Bombyx mori: one gene and its partner. The protein of the gene in region 1 binds, or shares a complex with, the protein of each later gene. Links are inferred from orthologs where the notes say so. Each region holds a gene or a part of one and is shown on either strand. Other genes may lie near its edges.

The links.
Region 2: N-alpha-acetyltransferase 35, NatC auxiliary subunit (region 1) and N-alpha-acetyltransferase 38, NatC auxiliary subunit share a complex: the UniProt entries of both Drosophila melanogaster proteins name them as parts of the N-terminal acetyltransferase C (NatC) complex. The link is inferred for Bombyx mori from reciprocal best matches to the Drosophila melanogaster genes Naa35 and Sbat.

Annotation. Positions count from the first base shown.
Region 1 is NC_085111.1:6,430,631-6,443,741, forward strand, and holds the end of N-alpha-acetyltransferase 35, NatC auxiliary subunit, read left to right. Parts: intron 1-144; coding exon 145-368; intron 369-1,550; coding exon 1,551-1,731; intron 1,732-1,948; coding exon 1,949-2,138; intron 2,139-3,427; coding exon 3,428-3,609; intron 3,610-5,354; coding exon 5,355-5,585; intron 5,586-5,965; coding exon 5,966-6,106; intron 6,107-7,042; coding exon 7,043-7,206; intron 7,207-7,617; coding exon 7,618-7,810; intron 7,811-8,595; coding exon 8,596-8,753; intron 8,754-9,339; coding exon 9,340-9,433; intron 9,434-10,383; coding exon 10,384-10,524; 3' UTR 10,525-10,563; downstream 10,564-13,111. Other genes in the region: uncharacterized protein LOC105842451, read right to left, coding at 11,720-11,814, 12,906-13,038. UniProt on the Drosophila melanogaster protein: Auxillary component of the N-terminal acetyltransferase C (NatC) complex which catalyzes acetylation of N-terminal methionine residues.
Region 2 is NC_085124.1:7,601,410-7,614,873, reverse strand, and holds N-alpha-acetyltransferase 38, NatC auxiliary subunit, read right to left. Parts: upstream 8,698-13,464; 5' UTR 8,114-8,697; coding exon 8,072-8,113; intron 7,578-8,071; coding exon 7,448-7,577; intron 6,763-7,447; coding exon 6,605-6,762; 3' UTR 6,579-6,604; downstream 1-6,578. Other genes in the region: uncharacterized protein LOC101745429, read left to right, coding at 194-265, 655-2,832, 3,795-3,936, 4,011-4,201, 4,280-4,521, 5,060-6,545; nucleic acid dioxygenase ALKBH1, read left to right, coding at 10,216-10,329, 11,171-11,509, 12,476-12,669, 13,043-13,415. UniProt on the Drosophila melanogaster protein: Auxiliary component of the N-terminal acetyltransferase C (NatC) complex which catalyzes acetylation of N-terminal methionine residues. May have an accessory function in the survival motor neuron (SMN) complex.

The DNA of each region.
Region 1 (13,111 bases):
ATATCTTTACTAAGTTTTATATTATGTTTTGGAAACTGCCATATATATATAAGAGTCCAGAGTTCAAAGTGATAAGCAAAAAGATGTGGTAAACTCATTAACTATAAAGACTAAGTTGTGTAATATAAAGTTTTATTTATATAGGCCGACAAGTTGAAGATTGATAACATAGAACCTAATGAACTGATTGGAATCATAGATGCAACAATGGCATGTATTGTTTCCTGGTTGGAAGGACATTCTCTTGCTCAGACCGTTTTTACTAATCTGTACCTACATCAGCCACATTCAATAAACAACAAAATTTTGAAGGCATTCTGTATAGCAGTTTACAAACTGTTGGATTGCATAAGAGATTGTATTAACCAGTAAGTTTGATTTGATTGTTCTTTGTGATTAAGATTTCAATAGAAAGCAATTATTATTATTATATATAGAAGGGGGAAAGGCTATTTGGTTTAAGCAACATTTCGGTTGATACTAGACATTTATCTTTGTAATTAAAGGTACATTTTATTTGGTATTAGTATAAACAATTCAGTGTTTTTAATTGAACTTCAATTATTTTTACTGCATTTAAATAACTGAGGAACTTTTTTTGTAATAATATTTTTTCCAAATTTTTTAACTTTAATCGGCTTTCCTGTAAAGTTGCAAACTTGTCGAAAGATATTTTATTATTTTCTATGTATGTAAATTCAAAGATTTTTTTATTTATATTATTTAGACAACTAATGCATCATGACTCGTGAACCTTTTTGAAGTTTTTGTGGCTTAATAGATAAGACACTTAGTGTCTTGAATCAAGCAATTTAACTAAAGTGGTGAATAAACCCATTCTTGCGCGTGACACATTCAGATTTAAAAAATAGGACAGCCAGTATACAATACAAACAAGACTGACCACATCTCCTAATATGTGTGGCGGCATTAGTGTTGTAATGGCTAGTGAGCTTTTACAACCACTTTACATTGGGTGAGCAGTGAAAACGTTTAATCAAATACAACTTTTTTTATAAGTTTTGACTGGATACAACCGGTCATAATCAAACCTGCTACTTATAACTTTGCATAATTACTAGTGAAAATTGTCTGTGAGCCTAGACAGCTACCAACATTTTGCTTATTTTTGCTACAAAATGGTCATGTGTTCGTTTGAATGGTAGGCTCCGGCTGTAGTTGTTAAAATAGAAATCGAGTTTCATCACATGATGGGCCACATTCTAGTCTTGATATCTATGGACTCTTTCATGGAGAAAATGCCTATGATCTCTATGCTGATCAGATTTGTTGGCGATCACAGATGATTTGGGTAGACTGGCTAGCAAGAAATGTACAAGGAGAGCTGAAGACCAGGCTCAGTTGTGTGTGTTTGCCCCATACATAGCTACATAAAAAAAAGGCTAAAGTAGAAGTCAATTTTTCAGTCTGACCTTTACTTTCTACATGAATTGTGCCCTAAAACCTATGGAAAATTTATATAAATGTTATATAAAATGTGTATAGATTTTTTAATTCTTTTAATTTCACACATCTTTTTTCTATTTCAGAGCTCAAGTATTTGAAGAAGAAGATTTTCAGCCAATGGGATATGGGTATTATTTAGGCTCAAATCCACAGTCAGGTCATACTTACGACGCCAGTCTGGAAGTTACTGAGTCCAAATGTATTTCATTACTCAGAGAGCAGGAAGAAGAACTAAACAAAAAAACTAAGAATACTGAAGCTGAGGTAAGCACACCGACAGGTGGTTGAAGCAACAGAACGTAAAATATTTTTATTTTGGAAAAATAATTGTTAATATAAATGTGATGGAAATAAAAAAAAATGGAATAGTGATACAATACAAATTCTGAAAATCATGTGTGAGTTATTGAGTATGAATAAGAAAGGCAAATTGTATAAAATTTTGTAATAAATTTATGCTATTTTTTCATGATTTTATTAGGCAAATATCCTTTGGACAGCACTAGCGGCCAGAATAAGATTCACTAGAATGTTCTACCAAGCTCTTCTATTGATAACAAAGCGTGATTCGAAGTCGGGAGCCGACTGCGTCGCCCTGTTGAACGGTTGTTCGGAAATGATGAAAGTTATCATTAAAACTTCAGGCAAAGGAACGCAGCCTGTGGAGAACTGTAAGTTTAGTTATTCGATTAGGAAATTAATTAGTTTTTTTTTTCTTTTTTTTATTGCTTAGGTGGGTGGACGTGCTCACAGCCCACCTGGTGTTAAGTGGTTACTGAAGCCCATAGACATCTAGAACGCAAATGCGCCACCTACCTTGAGATATAAGTTCTAAGGTCTCAGTATAGTTACAACGGCTGCCCCGCCCTTCAAACCGAAACGCATTACTGCTTCACGGCAGAAATAGGCGGGGTGGTGGTACCTACCCGTGCGGACTAACGTAAGGTCCTACCACCAGTAATTACGCAAATTATAATTTTGCGGGTTTGTTTTTTATTACACGATGTTATTCCTTCACCGCGGAAGTCAATCGTGAACATTTGTTGAGTACGTATTTCATTAGAAAAAAATTTACATTTTACATTACATTTTGAATTAAAACTTTCATTGTTAGTTTTATGTTTATAAAGAAAATCTGCTTAAAAAAAATGAAGTGACTTGATGTCCTTCGTTGAGTGCAATGTATCGCTTCAAAGCCATTTAGCTCATAGCTTTGTCTATTTTTTATAGGGACGTTAGTTATTCTCTATTGATTTGGAAGTTGAAGCCATCACAGTAAACAACTAGTTGACCATGTCTAAAATAATAGTAAAATAATTCATAAAGTAGTTATACGGCAAGAGAATTCAATTAAAACGATCATCAATGTTTATGAAAAATTATAATTTCCAAAAGACATTAAAAATAAAATGCAGTTATTCTTCGACTTTCATTTTGATTGTGAGATGTGCTAGATGAGACTCATCAGATGGAATTTGATCACCGCTGCCGGTGAACATCAGCAATGCAAAGATAGAGCAAGATACGAACCTGATGTCTGATACATACCTCGGGACTACCATCCATACTTTTTTTTTTATTGCTTTGATAGGTGGTCGAGCTCACAGCCCACCTGGTGTAAAGTGTTTACTGGAGCCCATAGACATCTACGACGTAAATGCGCCACCCACCTTGAGATATAAGTTCTAAGGTCTCAGTATAGTTACAACGGCTGCTCCACCTTTCAAACCGAAACGCATTACTGCTTCACGGCAGAAATAGGCGGGGTGGTGGTACCTACCCGCGCGAACTCACAGGAGGTCCTAGCAACAGTAACACCAGTACTTCTTGAACTTTGCTCGAAAAAGAATGTATCATAACACAGCTCCGGGGAAATACCGAAGATAGGAGCAGCAGCCATACAGCAACCATGGCGCAGCGTTAAGAGTGTTATATGTGAACTTTTAATATTATTTTTTAGCCGATTCGCCGAACCCAATGGGATTTGAGCCAATGATAAACCAGCGTCTCCTCCCTCCGACGTTTCCGCGGTACACCCGCATCAAACCAAGAATAGAAGCTCTTCAGTATTTCGACGAGCTCGTTTCGAGACTCCGTCACGCTTGGAAGATCACCTCCTGCACTAACTTCCACACGGCAGTGGTAATGTTTAGTTGTAAATACAAAATTATATTATTGTTTTTTAGGAGTGGGTGATATAAATCGTATATAGATTCAATATCTATATATCGCAGCAATATCGTTGAATCCGATATCGCCCCGCACGAAATCTATATATCGATATCAGCCGATACACGATATTGCTCGATGTGATGCGCATCGCCATATCGTACCGATTCGTGAATCGAAATCTATATTTCGATATCAGCCGATACACGATATTGCTCGATGTGATGCGCATCGGCATATCGTACCGATTCGTTAATATCAGCAATATTCGTTTGGTTCGTATCGAATCGGCCAGAGTGAGTGAGCGCACGATAGGGATATCATGTGATGAATGAAACAGAAACAGGCATTATCCATACAATTGTAAACCTTATATTTAAGTCCATATGTCTGTAGATTATTCTTAGCGTATCAGCAGGATACAATTAAGGAAAGAAGTTTCAACTTTCGACCCTAACTTGAATGCAGTATAGCCTATTTGCATCGTTGAATTTAATTTCACGCGCTTTGACCTTGAACTAGAATTTTTGGACAAGTGTTTATAAATACTTAAAAGTTTTTTGTGTTTGATTTTTAAAGTACACATTTTTCTATTTTTAGTTGAATCCAAATAATTGAGTTTATTTCTTGTGTTTGTATTAAACTTTTGAAATCTACACTCTTTTGGTATATTTTGTAATTTTAAATTAAGACACAAAATACTAAAAACTGAAAATAATGTAGCCAGTCCTAAGCCTGGTAAAAGCATGAAGGAAAGTTTTTTTGATATTTTTATTTTCATGTTCTTTTTATTACTTTAAGATCATATTATAAATTGATATCAGAAAACCAACCGTATAACGTTGACTTAAATCTATATCTACTACGATATTATATCAGCGTATCGTTTCAAATCTCAAATATCATGAATCGAGAAAATCTACTAGCATCCATCAATATATAGATTCAGAAAATATATAGATTCAATATCCGATATTGATCCTCGATACATAGATACGATTCGATACGCGGCAAAACCGATATTACCCACTCCTATTGTTTTTTTTTTAAGGGATTTTATGACCTGGTAACTAAGACCTTTAAGGTCATGGTCTTATTTTAATTTATATTCTTATTTTTATGAAATGAAAAATGATAATATGGAGTGAAATGAAGTGAAATGAAGATGATTAATTTGAGACATTAATCAACTGGGATGAAATTAAATTAAATGAGATGAGATGATATGGAATGAAATATAATCTCAGTAAAATGATGCTCAGTTACTGACATTTTTTCAGTGGACTTTTTGGAGGATCCCGAGAAGTTACGTTCAGCAGCTTTGTTTCATTTTCCCACATTTGTGCACTAATAAACTACCGCTATTACACATTTAAACCTGAAGAAACACTAAACAGACAAAATAAAACAAATCACACAATTTCACTAATCGCGTTCCCGCCAAAAAGTCTACAAAATTATATAGTAAGATTTGTGTATAGATAAAAATATGGTAATTTTTTTGAGAACAATCTACCATGTTTTATTGAATGTTCCTTCCAGAGTAATACAAGGGTTTATGTACAAGTAATATGTTCTACTATAACCACTATTTAGTAACTATGACACAATACTATATTATTATGTTGTTTTTTTACTATATATTATATTGAATATATTATTATACTATATTATTATTATTAAAAACTGCTCAATATAATATTTTATCTATATTTCAGGATTTCTTCATGGAATTCAGCCGTCAGCGCGCTTGTATTTTATCGAGATCTGCACTACAGCTACTGTATCTGAGTCCGTCTCCGGCGACGACGGCCGCCACTGCGCAAACCGTTCCCTCGGGAGTTCCTCGGCCCCACCACATCTTCATTGAGATCCTCAGAGATTCGATCAAGAATTTCGTTAATCCACCGGTTTTAATTAATAAACCAATGATGCCAGGCACTCCGCAGGTTAGTCAGACCATACACAATAGTATCAAAGAAAATAAAATATTTGTAGATAATCTTTTGCACCGCTTTAAGGATGCAATTTATAAAAAAAAAATCTTCGCTGCTTTCTTGTTAAATTTATTGATGTGTTTTCACGCTTTGATTGGCATAAGGGAGTCAACCAATTGTTAATTGACTGTTTGACTCCATAGGTACTCCAACAAGAATGTTACGGGTCACCTTGAGAAATGATTCACTGTATAGTTAAATAATATTTCAAATCGCATTTATGCCAAATAAGTTTTCACTTTGAAAAAATCGTACAACCCTAATATTGAGTCGTGGTACGGTCCGTCAATCAGTTGACATGTTCTGCTAAAACTGATATGTTTGTATTGAAGGCGCGAGAAGTTGTCGAGACTTTTTTGACGAGATGCGTTCGTCCGTTCGCCGTGTTGCTGCAAGTGTGCGGACACAACCGCGCCAGGCAGCGGGATAAGCTGGTGCTCTTGCTCGATGAATTCGCTACTTTGCAAGAAGAGGTATGGTTGTATTATCTGTAAGGGCACTAACAAATACACTACACGGTCAGCTGCTGCGAACTATAGGCGCCGCCATATTGGCCTTGGCTGCTCTGACAAGCGCCTTTCACTTTGTCCCTACTCCGCGGCCGACCGTCACGCGACATGCAACACACAGACGAAAAAGTTTGAGACGATGTAATAAAAGTTTTACTTTAAAAACTTTTAATAAAACGATAAAATAGTTATGGCATAACATAAATAAGTTAATTTTTGAATCCTCTTCTGTATTGAAGAAAATGCCCCTTTTAAAGTCTTCGTTTTTAATGTTCAAGAATGCGGTCGAAAAGAAAGTCAAATGACAGTTAGTAAATACTAATAAAAAAAGACGCAATGTACTACAAAAAAGTAGCTGTTGGGTAAAGACGCACAAGCACAGTGAATGTCCTCCAGTGACTATGTATAATTCGGAAAATGCGTATACCAATCCTAAGTTTTGTACTCGTCCGTTGCGGGTTCACGAAACTTTTTAAAAGGAATCGAATTTTAAAAGGATAAGTCATGCTAACGTTTGAATACAGATTCTTTTTTATTGCTTTGATGGGTGGACGAGCTCACAGCCCACCTGGTGTTAAGTGGTTACTGGAGCCCATAGACATCTACAACGTAAATGCGCCATCCACTTTGAGATATAAATTCTAAGGTCTCAGTATAGTTACAACGGCTGCCCCACCCTTCAAACCGAAACGCATTACTGCTCCACGGCAGAAATAGGCGGGGCGGTGGTACCTACCCGTGCGGACTCACAAGAGGTCCTACCACCAGTAAGAGATTGCTCGAGACGGCTTTTGGAACGATATCCACTGCGCCGTTTTCGTTTAACTAAAAGCACATTCTCGGCTAATTAATTTGATGTACATACTTCGTGATATAAGTTTTCCGTAATTGTATTTTCAGGCGGAGAGCGTGGACGCGATAACGAGTGGCAGCATGGGTACTGGAGATTGTCCGTGCTTCAGCACTTGGGTTCTGTACCACGTGCTGCGTGTAATGATCGCGTATCTACTCTCCGGCTTAGAACTGGAACTGTACTCTGTACATGAATATCATTATATTTTCTGGTGAGTTACGGACACGAATTGCGTCAGTCCACCTCGTGATATGAGGTCGAAGTCTCAATTTGACTGGTGGTAGGACCTCTTGTGAGTCCGCGCGGGTAGGTACCACCACCCTGTCTGTTTCTGCCGTGAAGCAGTAATGCGTTTCGGCTTGAAGGTCGGGGCAGCCGTAACTGTACCTGAGACCTTAGAACTTATATCGAAAGGTGGGTGGCGCATTTACGTTGTAGATGTCGATGGGCTCCAGTAACCACTTAACACCAGGTGGGCTGTGAGCCCGTTCACCCATCTGTGGTCAGATTGAGAATAGATTTGTAATCTATAATTTAAATTAATATCGAAGGTCGAATTTCGATCACTGGGGACCACTAGTACATACAAAGAAATGACGGCTGTAATAAATGGTGTTCGCAGGTATCTGTACGAGTTTCTGTACGGCTGGCTGGTGTCGGCCCTGGGACGAGCTGAAGGCCTGGCCAACGAGACCACCAAGAGAATAGAAGGCAAACGTGCCGGTGTACGGAAACAGAAGAAACGCACGCGCCCTTACGCGAGGGAGGGACTCATGTGTCAAGTCATGCAGAACATGTGCGGGGGATATTATAAGGTAACTAGATGATGATGATGACAATAGTTGTCGGGAAGAGTTGATTATTGAAAACACGAATAAAACAATATTTTCTGAAAATAAATCGTAGCTAGATCGATTTATGGCCCCCAAAATCCCCTGTATACTAAATTTTATGAAAATCGTTGGAGCCGTTTCCAATATAGTTCGGTATAACGTGACTAAGCGACAATAACTGCTTTGTACATAAATCAGGCAATAACCATATTCGATGCGCAAAAAAATATATATTTCTAGGTCTATTAAATTCATTTCAATCCTACAGCTAGATTCGTTAAAATAGATTTTTTTCAGGCATTTCAACTTTAAATTAGTCCACTGTAAAGTTCACGCATTGTCGCTTAGTCACGTTTGCTTTTCAAGCGTCGATATACAAATATAACACTATTCATTTCGACTAAGGTAATCGTAATTACTTACCTTACGTAACTTACAAAAACTTTGTACCCCTTTTTACGAAAATTGCGCAAATGGAGAAATATGGTATTTCCCACACTTATAGATAACATAGAGAAGGAATGCAGAATGCTAATATTTTTTAAGTTATACATTAATAATACATTAAATCAATAAAAAAAAACATTACACACACTACCATATATTTGACATAAACACACACACACGCATAAATGCTCTTTAGTTTATTGTTAAAGTCTGTTACTGTGTCTGTCTATCAAATTGAGAATAACTTTCTAGTTTGGTCAGTTTTTGATTTTCTAACCATTTTCAGTGTCACCCCCCTATAAATTTGATTGTTTCCGCAGGCGTTAGTCGCTTTCAAGCTGCAAGGGAAGATCCGTCAGCCGCAGTCCGAGTTCGACAACGAAGCGGTCCGGTACAAGCACCGGTTCGCGCCGCTCTCCGGCCTGAGTCCGCCCCAAGTCCACTACCACGAGTTCTGCGAGATGACGCAGCCGCTGCAGTGAGTTTTCAGCTTTAAGACACAAGTCGATTGAGTCGATTTTCGAGTAACGCTCGCGCGATCGTCGGGTCGTCGACCTGTGTATGCTGGGTGTTAGGAGTTAAAGTTAGTAATGACAGCTATCATGATGGGACGGGAAAAAAATCGATACAGATTTAAAAAAAAAATCATATTTTTAAAATTTTTTATTAGCATTATTTACGCTCCATCATGTTAGAACATGGAAGTCGTCGTGGCCTAAAGGATAAGACGTTCGGTGCATTCGTATGTAGCGATGCAACGGTGTTCGAATCCCGCCGGCAGGTACCAATTTTTCTAATGGAATACGTACTTAACAAATGTTCACGATTGTACAGTACAGATGGAAAAAAAAATATCGAGGCGTAAAAGATGGTTTTGTTTAAATGACATTTTTCCTATTTTACAAGAGAGTCATTTAAAGTTTAGAAGTTGGAAAAGATAACGTAACAAAAAAACTTTATTAGCCATTTAAATGGAACTTAATTGAAATATAGACGCACCCTAAATTACAAAGATAAATGTCGCGTATACACACCTCGATATAATATGTTTTGTTACATTGCAGGTACGAGAACCCTGTGATTCTGTATCTCGGTGGCTACAAACATTTTCAACAAGCTCGTTCCTTATTGGAAACTATAACCGTTCCCGATCAAGAGGTAAGATTTTTTTATTAATACAGTAATCGAAATGGTTCTGTAGGATTCGTTTAAAAAAAAAAAACAACAATAAAGCTAATTACTAGATCCTATGTTACGTGAAACTTCCTACTTTTTTTATTTTTTTTTATTGCTTGGATGGTTGGACGAACTCACAGCCCACCTGGTGTTAAGTGGTTACTGGAGCCCATAGACATCTACGACGTAAATGCGCCACCCATCTTGAGATATAAGTTCTAAGGTCTCAGTATAGTTACAACGGCTGCCCCACCCTTCAAACCGAAACGCATTACTGCTTCACGGCAGAAATAGGCGGCGTGGTGGTACCTACCCGTGCGGACTCACAAAGGTCCTACCACCAGTAAAGTGACATATAGGCAAAGTAATGAAAGTCTGAATAATCAAAAGTCGAATTTGAGATTTTAGGAAGATATCTGAAATATACTATGGTATTATAATCTAAATATAATAACATCCTACTAAACTGACCATCGTTGAATGTACGAAATACACTGTTTTATTAAAAGTGCATTAGCTCACCACCTTTTTGTGGTACTATGACGAAAACCTTTCCTGATATGTATATGATAAATATCAAGTTTCAAGTAAATTAGACCAGCAATACCAAAACACCTAATATATCAACAAACGAACAATTGGGTGGCAGTAATCTGTACTGTAAAATTATATAATCTACATTAAATGTGGAAATTTGTATCTTTTGTTGTTTCTTAGAGCTTACTAAATTACAGAAGTGACTGAATGAATTTTAATGAAATTTCTCATATCCATCTATTTATCTATTTTTATATTGACTTATTTAATCTAGTTTGAAGAACGATATGAAATAGCTCTCGTGAAACTACATGGAGGGTAGTTCATTGAAAAATATATATGCGTAAACTGGCCACAGAGTAATGTAATTATTAAATAAATAAATTTATTTTCAGGTGCAAGATCTGCTCAAAGTTGCCAAAACAAATTTTGTCGTTTTAAAACTATTAGCGGGAGGACACAAAGCCGACACAACTACATCGCCCGAGTTTGATTTCTCTGTACATAGACACTTTCCTATTATCAAATTAGTTTGATATTATTGTATATATGAATAAATAAATAAAGTTACGTGATCTGTGTATTTTTATGTAGTCTGTGCAGTTTGGCATCCCTAGATAAGAAAATTAATTTATGGCAACATTATCCTAAGTTCTGTAGTGTATTTACGGAGGCTATTACTAAGGAGTAACCTTTGTGCTTAAGAAGCGCCTGTCGAAAAGTAACCATTAATAGGCTGAGGGCGCCCCCGTAGCAAGTGGTGTAATATCGAATTTAGCGCCAAAAGTTAATATATTTTTAACCTAAGCACTGGTAGCCTTGAGGGGCTATTTTAGCTTCTCTTGGCTGTTATTTTTGAAATTCATCACTACACACTCCGTTTACATCTGCGATATTCATATCATACGACTTATTATTAATAGCGCTGTTTTGGTGGATTTTTTATGTTGCAATTAACTTGCAGTTGGACATTTTTTCAAATTGTCACCAATAAAAGAGAGTTTCGTTACCTCTAATCTCCTTATGTGCATTCATTATAAAAAAGAAAAATATTTAATATTTTTACTCAAAAACAAGGTTCAGCGTTACTTCTTTTTGAAGTCGCTTAAAAATAGAAAAAGGGTAACTAAGGAGTAGGAATAGAAAATAAACCGCTCTTTTGGGATTTGGGAATAATTTTCTGTCTGTGTTTTCTGTCTTTGTTCGCTCATATCTCTGGAACTACTGAATGTATTTTTATTTAGTTTGTATACATTAGTATACAGAGGTTAATTCGGAACAGAAAATCATAATATGAATACAGGACAGCATATAATATTTGTTTCATTGAAATAGGATGTTACAAAATTAATAGGTTTTCATTTTATTTATATGAAACTAATGTCTGTCACGCCAAAACCGTTGGGCCGATTCTGACGAAATTGGGTATGGAAATATTTTGATCCCTGGGGAAGAGATACCTTTTATATGAAAGTTAAGCAAGAGAATTAGTGCGTGCGTGCGAAGCTGCGGTTTGGCAGTTAGTATGATAATAACATATTTTCAAAACTCATTATATAATTTTTATCTTTATTTAAATAAGTTTAAAACTTGTATCTTGATATTAAATGTTGGTGAGTTTTACTAAATTTTCTACGATTACAATTACATTGCAATAAATAATAAGTACGTAATTGTATAATATGATATGAAATAATAAATAAATTTTAGTGAATATAAACAGATTTGATCTCATTCTTCTTCTTCTTCGGTGTCTGCATCTGATACATCAGTGTAGCAATCGCCTTCAGTTGTCTTCACTCTCAAGAAATCAGTAGCTTGAGGGCCTGAAATAATAATAACGCATTCTCAAATTGAAGCAAATAGATAGTTTGAAGAGCTACCAAAACATTTGTAAAATAAACAAAGTAGATCAGATCAAAATAATTCAAGGGCCCTTGTAACAGGAATAAGTCGGTACCTAAATAATTAATAAGTCTTCTAAAACCTCTTGAAACATAGATGCTTCTATTTCTAACACTAGAAGCAGCCATTACACAGGTCGCTGCTCTCGGCGAGGAGTTGGGCGTGACAATTATCCCGTAGCATCAGCCCGCTGAGCTTATCACCGATTCTTCTCAGCGGGTCGATATTTTCGGCCCAGTAGTCGACGCACTCGCAAATTAGGTGCCTTTGAGTTGATAGGCTTCGTCCATTTTCAAACACCAACTTTTCTGGGTGAGATTGTGCTTGCTCACCTATTCTGGCGAAGTTGTAATAACCTCGGAGCGAAAAGCAATCCCTCCGTCCCGAAAAAACCTATGGTTTCGGTTTCTTGGCGTTTTGCAGACTTTTTACACTACCTATATATTGGAAGGAAGTATTTACTATGGTAGTAGCTAGCAGTTTCCATGTGAACGTTAGTGTTGCTGTTATCGCCTTGTATGACCAAGGTTATTTTTCCACTCAAACAGTGAGACACGCCATAAAAACAAAATGACTTAACAAACTACTGTCACTAGCTGGCAACAGGTGCAGTCCTATGTCCTTAAATGACAATTTACTACCTACCTACCTACCTACTAATTATACTCGAGACCTTAGAACTTATATCTCAAGGTGGGTGGCGCATTTACGTCGTAGATGTCTATGAGCTTAAGTAACCACTTAACACCAGGTGGGCTGTGAGCTCGTCCACCCATATAAGCAATAAAAAAATACCTACCTCTCTAATTCTTATGGAAAATGAAAATATTACTATAAATCTCTAATTCTTATGGAAAATGAAAATATTTATACATACACATCCACAACGATTTATTAGATGCGGGGTTAGAAAAAGAAACTATACTTTTTTGACAGCTTGTTGCTTCTAGATTTAGTTATTCTATGGTCGAATTGAATTTCAGTAAAGTGCCAGCGTATTGCTTAAGCCAACCTTCTGTATAAACGACGTTAGCGGCGAAGTCTTGTATGGGAACTGGTGTGAGAGACCGGTTTATTCCAGAAACGGTGTTTTCTTCTTCGTCTTCTGAATCCACTAGAATTTCTTCCTCCTCACATTCTTCGATCTAGAGATTTAGTAAAATAATTTGAGCTGATTGCTACTTTATAGTGCTATTTATGTATGTTAACCTTTTGTCA
Region 2 (13,464 bases), on another chromosome or scaffold:
TAGTTTAAGTAGTAAATTATTATAGATTTGAAATTGCAGTTTTATTGTCCAAACCATTTAATAGAATACGTTTTTTAAACTGGACATTCTATAAACATAGGTTAGTATAGTAAGATAATACACAAATTATTGTTTATGAATCAATTTATTTTAAATGGGTTTTTTATTATTAATTTCAGACTTAAAAACTAGAATGGATGAAATTCTCGAGATCTTGTTGTGTGCAAATGAAACCAAACAAGAAATAAAAGTGGAAATTTTACAGGTATTAAAAATATAACAAGTTAAATTGTTGGAATATTACAAAAGTAATGAGGCAGAGTAAATATGAAATCATACTTTGTGGTTTGTTTTTTTTTTTTTTTTTTTTTTTTTTTTTTTTTTTTTTTTTTATTGCCCTTGTAGGCAGACGAGCATACGGCCCACCTGATGGTGAGTGGTTACCGTCGCCCATGGACTTCAGCAATGCAATTGTTTGTTTGTGTTTCATAAATTCATAAGTCGTTATTGGCATTTTAGTGAAGATTTTCATAAAGAACACATACAGTACACAGTTTGTATGAGAGTAGTTCAAACAAATAATCATAAAATATTACAGATACTCAAATATATTTTTATAAAATTATATTTCATGTACATAATAATTAATTTCAGAAAATTTTACTGATGGCAAAAGAGTGTGATTCAGGGAAGCATTGTAAATCATGGAATAATATAGCAAACTTATTGTGGAATTCCTTGCAAAAAAAATTTAGCAAAATTGATGATCAATTATTATGTTCCATATGCTTTTATACAATTGCTTCTTACACTGATGATTGTGATAGGTATATCAATGGGATACAAAAAATTCTTGAATTTGAGATTGAAAATTTAAAACCTGGCAATTTGAAAATTTCACAATGCAACATTGCATTAATGTATGGTTTATTCCAATCAAATTTTCTTACTTCTCAGTGTGCAGGAGATATAATTAATTTTACTAGAGTTTTGCAATTAACCTTTGATTTACTAATTATAATGGGATATGAATACACGCAATTCACTTTTCTTGCCTTTAAAATAATGAAATCATTTAAAAAAGTATGTAATACTAAATGGCAAACAACAATTTTTAAGAGAGACAATCAAATTAAATTAATGAATGTTATCAATCATAACTGGGAAAACCCCATTACTGGAGTACGAGATCTACTTAAGAGTATTTTTAATACTCTATTAACTACTCTTGATGATGTATTGTACCTTTTAACACTAAAAGAAATTAATCAATTTTATTGGAATAAGGCCAAGTATTTAATGCTCTGTGAAGTAATTCATGTAGACTGCAAAAACATTTTAGTATTAATGTCTGAAAATGATTGGGCTCAGGGCCTTTTTAGCAGCCTCAATATTCCCAGCTTGGTGTCTGCTGGAGCTGATATGTATTTTGCAATTTTGAAAAGAATAAAATGTGTCGCCGAATGGTGCAACATTTTTCTAAACTCCACCATTAGCCTTTTTCAAGAAGGAACAGAGAAATCTATTCAAAACTTCAGTAACTATTGGTGTCTAACAACTTTAAAAAGATTTCCATCTTTACTGGGAGTATTCATAGAAAAGATAATGAAAAACAACTTTAAACAAGAACCATATGCTTTGATGTGTATCATAAAACAAGGTAATAAACTTGGAATTTTTGAAAAAGATTGGAATTTGTACAGCGGCTCAAATAATATCATGAATACGGTAGAGATGGCTTTGGAACACAAAATTGCTCCGCTGCGTATAGACGCTTTCGATATTGTTTGTGTTTCACATAGTAAATCACTGCCCATACAAAGGGAATACACACATGTTCTGGAGTACTTAAAGAACAATATGAACTCAGACTGCACTGTACTGAGATTAAATATGATGCGAAGTTTAAAATCATTTTTAAACCAACTACACGTTTCCTATTTAAACTATATGAAAACCTACAAAAATTGTGATGTAATAGATCTCATTTGCTTTTGTAAAAGCTTGCAAGAAATAGTATTTGAATCTTTAGAGTTGAATGGCAATTATCAAAGGAAAATAACAGCAGTTAAACTGACTTATTTGATTATGGAGTGCTTCAATGAAGTTCCTAGAAAGAAGAAAAAACAGATAAGACAGACTAACACATCTCTACTGCATTATCTAAAAACAGAGAATCAATGGTTTTTGGGTGGAGAAAAAATGACTGAGATATTAATTAAGCTTTTGAAGGATCCTTCAGATGATGTAAGAGAAAATGTAGTTCAATTATTACTGAAATACTACTTAAATGAAATACAAAATGCGAATTTCCTAAACAATTTGGCGACAGAAGCTCTTTCTTGCATTAGAAGTAAATTCTTCTTTGTAAGTAATTGTGGTCAAAGTATGTTGAAATTACTCAGTAATTTATTATTAATACCCAGAAACATTGAAACAAAGTATCAAAGCATTGAAGAAATTTTCAACTATGCTTATAATGAGTTACTATCTGAATACAAAAAGGATATAATGACTTCAATTGAAAACGAGACACAATTATATTCATTCATAAATATTTTGATAGTAGTGCTAGAAGTTTGTATTGACAACTCATTTAACATACGATTATCAACTGATACAATTCATGAGTTAATTCGTGTTTTGCAATATACTACCAATCAATTCACTTGGGAGCAAGATAATTGTACTAGTTCAGATTTTGCAAAAATGAGCGAAGTGGTTGAGGGAATGATAGCTCAATCTGAAAATTCAGCTTATAATGAAAACGATGAAGTAAAAATTTCAGGCATACATCAAATTGTTTTGAATTGCCTTTGGTTAAACGTTAAGGTAAGTTTTTAATTAAATAAGGTTATTATTGTTATTATACATTTCGTTACAGGAGCAGTTTACTACTCAAACCATAGTCTGTATGAACGAAAATTTGGTGAGAGACCTATATCCCAGGCCTAGTAGGGTAATTGAAAACAAGTTTGTATATTAGCTGTGAAACATAACATATTAGAACTGTGAAGAAGATTTATCCAGGATCAATACTTTTTTGCCGCTTTTTCAATGAGTAGCCCTAGATACTCCTTAAAGGAACATTGATTCACGGAGACTCCTTCGAGATTGACACGGTTCGAGCGGTATCATTGATTTAACGAGCAACTGTAGCTCCCACTCAAGTGGGATTAGGTGGGCTGCAGCACACTCATCTAGGTACCTACCTACTTTAGTTAGCAACAAAAAACCATGAACATGCGTATACTATAATATAAACCCCCTTTACATAATTTGTACATATTTGTAGTGGGACATTATAAATCTATATTGATGTGATATTGGTTTAGACTATCTCTAATTTTACCGCAGAGTAACTTTGCGGTCTGTGTGTTTAGTGCGAGTTTTTTAACGTTATCGATAGCGTAAAAGTTAGCTCATATTTGTGTATGGAATGGGATCGTTTGCCTATGTTTGCCGCTAGGGGCGCTGTTCCAACTGCATACAAAATTGGGCTAACTTTTACGCTATCGAGAACGTTAAAGAACTCGCACCAAGCAAACTGAAGCTTGCCTTACATTGAAATCAAAATCCTCACATATCATGTTGAGCGATGTCATTTTCGCTGTCGAGAATTGCGCTTCAGTAAGCACAACTCCAACCTTTTAATAAAACACTAAACGTTTAACACCCACTTTACCTAAAAATCTAGAACATTGCCAAGTCTTGCGACCACTCGCATGAGATGTGTCAACACCGAACAATTTGAATAACAATCAAAATATTAAATAGAAGTACATATATTGCAGGCATCGTGTGATTTAGCTTCACTCTTGGTGCAATTTAATAAGGATGACTTTGAAACATGTAGAAAATGTTTAGAACTCATTACTCACGTTCTAGAGAGCTCACGACATAAAGGGGCAATCGAAGCTGCAGGTGCAGCATTAGGTAGGTATCATGATATATAGCATGATATATCTTTTAATTTATTAAAAAATTAAGGTTTTTTTTTTTTTTTTCAGGAAAAGTTATACAATGTTTGACATCTTTACCTGAGGAGTCGAATATTTTAAATTCAATGAATAGCTTCCTTGAATCTAAATTAAACGAGTTGATATCTAAAGTCTATAATATGGCATCCATAACACGAAGAGGAGCAGGTCTTCCTATAATGGTTCACAGAATTGTTTCAAGTGACATGAATAAGGGAAAGGTAATTTGAATTTGTTCACGAATTATGGTAGAATATTATTTTACCAAACAAATCTCATATGCTATTAATTCTTTCTAGCCGCTATTTCACTATTTTTTAAAGAACATATTGGAGCTGTGTAACTCCGTACTCGATGTACCCAAACTAGAAGACAATGCTTCCGTTTTAGAAAACGAAATGGATTTACCTAAAGCTATCTACATCCACTTCTTAACAAAAGTAGTAACTGACAGCAGTTTGGCTTGTGACGTAATGTACTACTCATCAGAGCTCTCCGAACTGGCGTTTTTAAACCTAACCAGCGAACATTGGCAAATAAGGTATTTTTTTTAGATGAATAATACCTCAAAGGATCTTACACATTGATAATATGTTCGGGTATTAATCGGAAAGTAGATGAGATTACCATTTACTCTTTTTACTTCCTCAAATGATACCTCAACTTATTTAACTAGGTACCAAAATCTACTGCTCTAAATTAAATATAAAGCGTAGGCCGTACGGTTGTAACAGTCATTGTTCGCACTTCGACGGCGTACTCGACGAATTGAGAACAATGACTGTTAAAGATACTATACTGTTTTGAAGTTTTTTTTAATTGGCTTTGTAGGTAGACGAGCATACGGTCCACCTAATGGTAAGTGCTTATCGTCGCTCATGGACTTTAGCAAAGCCAGAGGCACAGCCAAGTCGCTGCCTCGTGCCTCGATTGAAGATGGTCGTTATTCCGATGTTCAACTAGTTCAACCTAAAAAGATTAAGATAGGCTACAGCACTCTTGTTTCGGTGTCTGGGCCCTGGCAAACTATACTAGATTCATTTCGATAAATGAAACTAATTGTTTTATTTCTATAATAGGAACGCAGCTTTACAACTTTATGGTGCATTGATTCCACGACAAATAGGACAAAAAAAGGCCCTTGGCACTGACGATAATACAATTGCGACGGTAGCTTGGGACGAATTGCGAACTCATTCTCCAAGACTGTGGAAGATGATCACGACCCGATTACGTATAGAGAGCCAATCTATTCAAATAGTGTCTCATTCGAATCTAGTACCCATTTTAAATTTATTGGCCAGTTGCGCAAAGAGATATAATCTTTCTTTTGATTGCGAATCACAGGTTGACGAATTGCTGACAAGTTTGATACTACTATTAGGTAGTCCAATATATATAGTCAGAAGGTTATCAGCTAAATGCATTTCAAATAATTTTAAATTTGAAGAAATTGGCTTACTGTCATATGGAAAATTTAATTCTGAAAATTTTATTCATGGTACGCTTATGTTGTTGAAACATTATACAGAGGAATCTCTTAACATGGATACATTTGATAAGACGAAAAGTTATATTGAAAATATTTTAACAAATAAAGTACATTCATACTTATGTAAACAATACTTTGAAGATATATTTTGTAACAAACCTCTGGCTTTAAATGATATAGAAGATACCTTTTTCGTTTTAGAAAACAAAATGTATGAACCAGGAGTATTTCTTTGGGCAGATGCGCGTTTACAAAAGTATCTTCGGACGTGTCCGTGGTTTGAAATTCCAAATTTATTAAAAATGTTTTTCAATCATGAGGGTTATGATAGATGTCTCAAGTATTTGCTGTTGAAAATGAAAAGAGATATGATTATTTCCGAACCTATTCTCTTAGAAATTACAAATACTTTACTGGAGTTTAACAAAAAATATGAAAGCAGTTACATTTGGAAAATTATATTTGAAGTGTCTCTAAGGACTGATTTAACTAAAAGTTTTGAGATTATTTCCTTCTTAAACAATTCAGTGGACTTGGTGTTTTCATATAAACTTAGGTACATTGTTCCATTAGCAGCAAAAGTACTAGAATGTTTAGAAGAAAATGTTCAGTTGCATTTTTCTAAAATTATATGGCAATTGTCTGATCCTAAGATGGATGTAAACATGCGGCACATCGCTGCATTAGCTAATAATAAAGTTGCAGAAGTATTTAAGAAATTACCTAAAATTGTGAAGATTAACTCTCTGAAATCAGCCATTATTTTATTACAAGATGAAGATGTGGATGTCAGAAATTTGAGTGTCATTTTTTACAAAAATATAAGTCAAGAATCTGCCGAAAAACAATGTTATATCTGCCTTAAAAGAATTATGCAAAAAGAGTTTCTAGAAAGTTTATTTTGTGAACCAAATGAAATTGAAATGCTTTTTAATGACTTGTCTGAAGTACTGCAAAATCTCAATAACAAACAAAAGGATGAGTTTAACCCATTTGCTAATGAACTTAAAAATATATACTTAGAAGTAGATGTTTTGCAGCAACTTTTGGAAAGTTTGAAGAACTCTGATTAACCTAAATAAAGTATATGAGATAAAGAAAAAATGTTATTTGCACTCAATTATAATAACATTTATTTAATTAGATATTCATCATAATAGTATGTTTGAGATGGTGTTGTATCATCAATTTGTATTGACACAATGTGTCTTCCAGGAACCATGACTAGACCTAATACTCTGGGTTCTTCAGTTTCTCCCTCATTATTTTTCAAGTACTCTGAGCAAGCACCTAAAATACAATTTATATGTAACAAAATTAGGTATTTCACCAATCATAAAAATTGATTGGTACAACTTGAGCCTATACATTTATTAGCTACAGACAAAAGGATAATATGTTGATAATCAGCTAATTTCACTACTGCTTTCAATGTTTGTCTTATACCATTACCTATAAGGATAATTATTTATTATTTAGGTTCTGGCATTTTTGTGCTCATAACACACGAACACTAGCTTGGGGCTTTAAATGTATAATATTTGTTTGTGTGATTTTTGTCAACCATACTATATATGAGTCGACTATTATCAAAGCCGGCAATGTGACTTTTGGATAATTATTGGTAAATCAGAAAAACGAATTATTGACTTTGTATTCCATTGGCAGTCACAAAACTCTTCTGAACGACATCTTAGATAAATAACAGGTTAAGTATTAACCTTTATTTAATGCAGGTTTTGAACCGTATTCTTTGAAGGAGACGATTATATTCAAATCAATCTGTATTGAAATATCAATAAAATTTTTTTGTCCAAATGCACAGATTGCTACCTTTGATAATAGACGACTCATATAAGCACATGATATACTATTGGTAAACCTACACACTTGTGATATAATATGTGAATTCAATAATTTTTACAAGATTGTATACTCAACCTACAAGAGCTCTATAAAAGTATTTAATCCATACCTAAAATTACATTTGCATCTCTATCTGTACACAGGAACACTCCTATCAGAACTCTGCCATCGGTCATTTCAATTCTAAATTTCATATTTAACCATTTTCTAAGTTTTGCCTTTCCTTCTTCCTCCACCACCTGAAGTATACAATTATTAAAAGTAGTAGGTACTATCTAATCCATTATGTCTATGTACAGGTTTGAAATAACAAAAAATATTTAAAAGGAATTATTTTTATATCTCTTGTTCATCCTTAATTATATTTCATGGGAAATAAGAGATCAAGCATTACTTTGATACCTAAATCTAGCGTTACTCAGTCAATTACATTTAATTATGAACTATCTAAATATCTAGAATTTATGATTATGTCAATGTGTAAACATCAATAATTTAAATGATTTTTCCTGGAAGGCCAAATAGGAATATAACTTGTATTAATGTTAAAAAAGCCTGAATCAAAAGTCATGTACGTAAAATTAATTAATGAAGGGAGGCGAAATTTAGCAAATATATAATTGGCTTGTCTACATACAATATTATTCTTTTAAAAGAAGTCTTATTCACTTTCGATGCTAACCTAAATATTATGTATATTTTATTTGTAGACGTGAGTTTATTTTTATCATACCTGAGGTGCTTCCGAAGTCGTTTTATTGCCTTCATTACTCATTTCCTTAGCTTGTTCAAATCTTTATCCCTGAACAATAAACGAGTTTCTTGCTAAAGTCTGGAAGTATTTTTATACGGCATTATTTTGTAGCCAGGTACATGGTTACACCATTGAAGTAGGAAACCTAGGTTACACACAAAGCATTTTTATCTGTCATGTAAAACTTAATTTGACCAAATCAAAATCAAATATTTTTTTTGAACCATAGACCTTAGGTTTCAAGGTTTCTTATTTCAGTGGTTTGAACTCTCAAATGTAATTCTCTAAGTTAGGGGATTTTATGACCTGGTAACTAAGATCTTTAAGTCAAGTCTTATTTTAATTTTAATGAAAACTTTTTAAATGAAAAATGATATTATGAAATGAAGTTGATTAATATGAAACATGGCATGAAATGAAATGAAAACGAAATGAAATGAAAATGATTAATTTGAGACATTAATTAAATGGGATGAAATGAGATGAGATGATATGGGATGAAATAACTTCTTGTTCTTCATAACAGCCCACAGACGTCCACTGCTGGACATAGGCCTCCCCCAAGCCTCGCCACAAAGACCGGTCCTGCGCTGCCTGCCAGCGGATCCCCGCGAACCTCAATACGTCGTCGGTCCATCTTGTTGGAGGCCTACCCACGCTATGTCTTCCGGTACGCGGTCGCCACTCAAGAACTTTCTGGCCCCAACGGCCATCCGTTCTATGAGCAATGTGTCCTGCCCACTGCCACTTCAATGTCGCAATCCTTTGGGCTAATCGGTTACCATGGTTTTCTTGCGAATCTCCTCATTTCTGATTTGATCTCGCAGGGAAACTCCGAGCATAGCCCTCTCTATTGCTCTTTGGGTGACTTTGATTCTTCTCATAAGGCCCATTGTGAGCGTCTACGTCTCAGTGCCATATGTCATCACTGGTAACGCACACTGGTCAAAGACTTTCGTCTTGAGACACTGTGGTATTTGTGATGAGAAGATTTTACGTAGCTTCCCGAACGCTTTCCATGCGAGCTGGATTCGACGGTTGACCTCTTTTTCGAAGTTGGACTTACTTAGCTGGACAGTGTGTCCCAGATAAACTCGTCAACAACTTCGAGCGTTTAATTTTCCCTCATTTGTGCAGTTTCATTATCATCTCATTTCATTTCATTTCATTTCGTTTTCATTTCATTTCATTTCATGCCATGTTTCATATTAATCAAATTCATTTCATTTCATAATATCATTATTCATATAAAAAAGTTTTCGTTAAAATTAAAATAAGACTTGTCCTAAACTTGGTCTTAGTTACCAGGTCATAAAAACCCGTCAATAAATTATGCTTTTATTGTTATTTGTCATGACAGCTCTTCAAGGATTTTTTGGCGGGAACGCGAGGAGTGAAGTTGTGTGATTTGTTTTATTTTTTCTATTTAGTGTTTCTTCAGGTTTAAATGTGTAATAACGGTGGTTTATTAACAGTTAAATACATTTGAAAGTGCACAAATGTGGGAAAATGAAACAAAGCCGCTGGACCTAACTTCTCGGGATCCTTCAAAAAGTCCACTGAAAAAATCTCAGTAAACGACCACTATTTTACTGAGATTATATTTCATCCCATATCATCTCATCTCATTTCATTTAATTTCATCCCAGTTGATTAATGTCTCAAATTAATCATCTTCATTTCATTTCACTTCATATTATCATCTTCCATAAAAATATCCCATATTATATCATCTTTCTTTTCTTTTTTTTGTATTGCCCTTATAGGCAGACGAGCATACGGCTGATACGGCCTACCTGATGGTGAGTGGTTACCGTCGCCCATGGACTTCAGCAATGCCAGGGGCAAAGCCAAGCCGCTGCCTACCGAAAATCTCATCTTATTTAATTTCATGCCATGTTTCATATTAATCAACTTCATTTCATTTCATAACATCATATTTCATAAAATAAAATAAAAAAATATACAAAAAATTTGGCTGTATGGTATGATGCCTTTGCCTTTCCATTTGGAAAAATAAAAGTACTACTGACAGCTCTTCAACTTCTTAGTAAAGATAGTTTTATTGTTATTGCATAAATTCCGAAAAGTACATACATACTGTATGTTATGATTTAATTATTATGTCTCAGAGTACAGGCGTAGATTTGTTTATGAAGCAATTTAAATATTTTAAATCTAATAAACCACAACCATCTCTCAATAGTGTCATATCTGTGGATATTACAACTTCAGAGGTAGGTAAATTACCAAATCCCTTTTAACAAATTAACTAAAAGGGAACGGCGTTTAGTCATTACAACACTATTCTGTACACACCACTCTACACGCCTCTATACAAAAGTATTTGTTTCCACTGTATAATGACCCTAGAGCTAACCTCTAACCTTTGCTGGAGGCCTAAGAGGCTATTCCAGTTACGTCCGGACGAGTAGCTGAGCTTACGAGCTCAACCTGAGAAGATTTGCTAATACTAGCCCTAAAAAGAGCAGTGCTTCGCAGATTCTACCACTGGATTGGAAATGCGACCCACTGAGAAGATCAGGCCAAGAAACTCAGTGGGCTGTGTCTGTGCGTTAATTTACTGGCCGAGCTCTTCGTCGCAAGCGATGGATTCGACAAGAATGATGACCAGTACCTGGGGTACCAAAAAGGACCTTTAGTAGATCAGGAGGATCTGCAATGACGTATTTTGGGCAAAGTTGACTGTATACCATTTGGTCCGCAGGATATCGGGAATGTAGTTACCGGACATCTATGCCCACAAAGCCTTTGAAGGCAAAATGAAGCTACCCATTATTGCAGTTGCTTTTAGACATCTAGGACACATATTTTACGAGTGAAACAAGATCATCCCAATGTATATTGTATGTATAAGTACACGTATAGCCAAAAAATAAATAAATTCATCCACTTTTGAGAAAGATGTGAAATGTTGAATGTTGAATTTTACCCCTAATTTTGCTCACCAGTTTAAATTATATTTTCGACACATGTTCAATTTAATATTATTGATTGTAGTATTTAGTGGCCAATGATAACATTAGCATAATTTAAACTTTGGCATTTATTTTTCAGGTGAAACTTTTAGAATGCAATACAAATTATAAATGTGAAGACAATCTTACACAGTGCTTAGGTTTGATAAACAAAAACAAATGGAAAACTTACAGTTTTGTTCAGCACCCTGGTTTAATGTTAATAAGGAATCCATTCACTGGATCTGGTCAAAGATATTGGATCAAAAGATGCTTGGAAAGATATCCAAAGAAACCGAATAAAATAAATATTGATATAGAAATTGATAATTTAGATGACTGGTGGAGAGAATGTCACAAAAGTATGGAATGTGATAAAAAATTGTTAAAAAAACTTAGGTGGACAACATTGGGTTATCATCACAATTGGAACACAAAAGTAAAATGTTATTATTATTATTTAATAAAATTCAGTTTTGTTTTAAAGAAATATGTGATGAGATTACACTTAACGAAAAAAATAATAATTTATTTATTTATTAAAAATTATGATCAGACAATAATATTTGTTTGCCCTGTTTGTAGCAAGTCTGCAAATTTAAAACATTATTTGAGCTTTAAAAAAATTAGAATAAACTTATTTAGGTTAGCAGGTAAATTCATGACCTCTAGGTTTGTCCAGTAATTGAAATTCATCCAAAGGTACTCTGTGATGGGTATATGATTATCATGGAACCTGCAATTAATTTATTGAGATGCATTACAAGTGTAATGGCCCCACATGACCCTTAGGGTATCTGATATCTGTGGCACCATTATCTATTATACTATATTGCCCACAATTACACTAAGTTAATACAGCATGTGCCTTTAATAAAAGTCACTAATAGTTCTAGACTCTTAGAAATTTTTTATAAGCTTAGTAAGCAGATGAGCTTTCAGTTTACATGGTGAAAAGTGGCCACTGCCACTGATGGATATTAGTAATGTTAGGAGCCACACTGCTGCTTATCTTATAATACTAATGCTACATGGTTGTAAGGGAGATAAATATGCACTATACCAGAAGCAAGTGTTCCCAGCTAAACCTAGTGAACTCTGCTTCAGTAGTGTCAGTAGGGGGTGGTTTGATGTTAAGAAGATAGGAAAGTAATGTACCAACATTTAATCCAGTGTACTTTGTCGTTCAGATCGCTAATATGCACAGCGTGCTTGTATATTTACATACCCTTTTGTACTTGATTGATTGCATACAGATCATTTAATCAAATGTGTTTATAATATAGTGTTACATTTTTATATTATAATATACTTAATTAGTTTAATATAGTGCTTTGAAATAGGAGAACAACTCTAGATTAATAAACTGTTTGATATATTGCAAAATATTTATTTTCATTTTCAGGCATATAGTGAAGAGAACAAGACTCCTTTTCCAGAAGATTTGTCAGAACTGTCAAGTGTCGTGGCTCAGTATCTTGGATTTGCGAAATTCAGAGCTGAGGCGGCTATTGTTAATTACTACCACAAGAATTCTACACTGTCCGCTCACACTGATCACTCGGAGGTCAACTTAGATGCACCATTATTTTCATTTAGGTACTTTCTCTAGGCTTGTCGGTAGTGGTTTATTTATTTGTTTTTAATTTATTGACGTATTTCTGTGAGATTATATTAATAATTATGGCTCAAAATTACAAATTCAAAATCAAGATACACAAAACAAAGAACAAGAGCCCGTGTTTAAAATAAAAGCAAGAAAAATCCCATTTTAAGTGTACGTGAGCGCTATGATGTCTATGTAGACCGACTGTCTGAATGTTGTTCGGAACTTGTATATATGCTTATTTTGAAAATGTCGTAAGCGAGATTCAGGCATCTGTCAAATATCTTGCGTTGTATGATGGCTACCCGCCACAGTTACTCGAATTGTGTTCAATTCCAGTAAATTCTTTAAAATTATTGTTTTCAGTTTTGGCCAATCTGCTATATTTTTAATAGGGGGCCGGGAGAAGTCCATCGAACCATCAGCGATACTACTAAAAAGTGGAGACATAGTTGTAATGTCCAAAGAAGCAAGGTTGTGTTATCATGCTGTGCCTAAAATATTACCGGAATACCATCAACCATGGAATTCAGATCTTTCGGAGCTTGATTTTAATAAAATGCCATCTTTTATGTACATTTCGAATCCGAAAGAAACAATTGAAGCAATGAATGAAAATATAGAAAACGACAAGTGGAGTGAATTCGAAAATTACATCAAGGAATCCAGAATTAACATTAATGTTAGACAAGTATTGAATGAAAAACAGATTAGTTTGGCCGACGAATTTTTTTCTTAGAACAAAACAGTTTTTTATTCCGTCGTCCATTCTTATTCTAAAAATATTA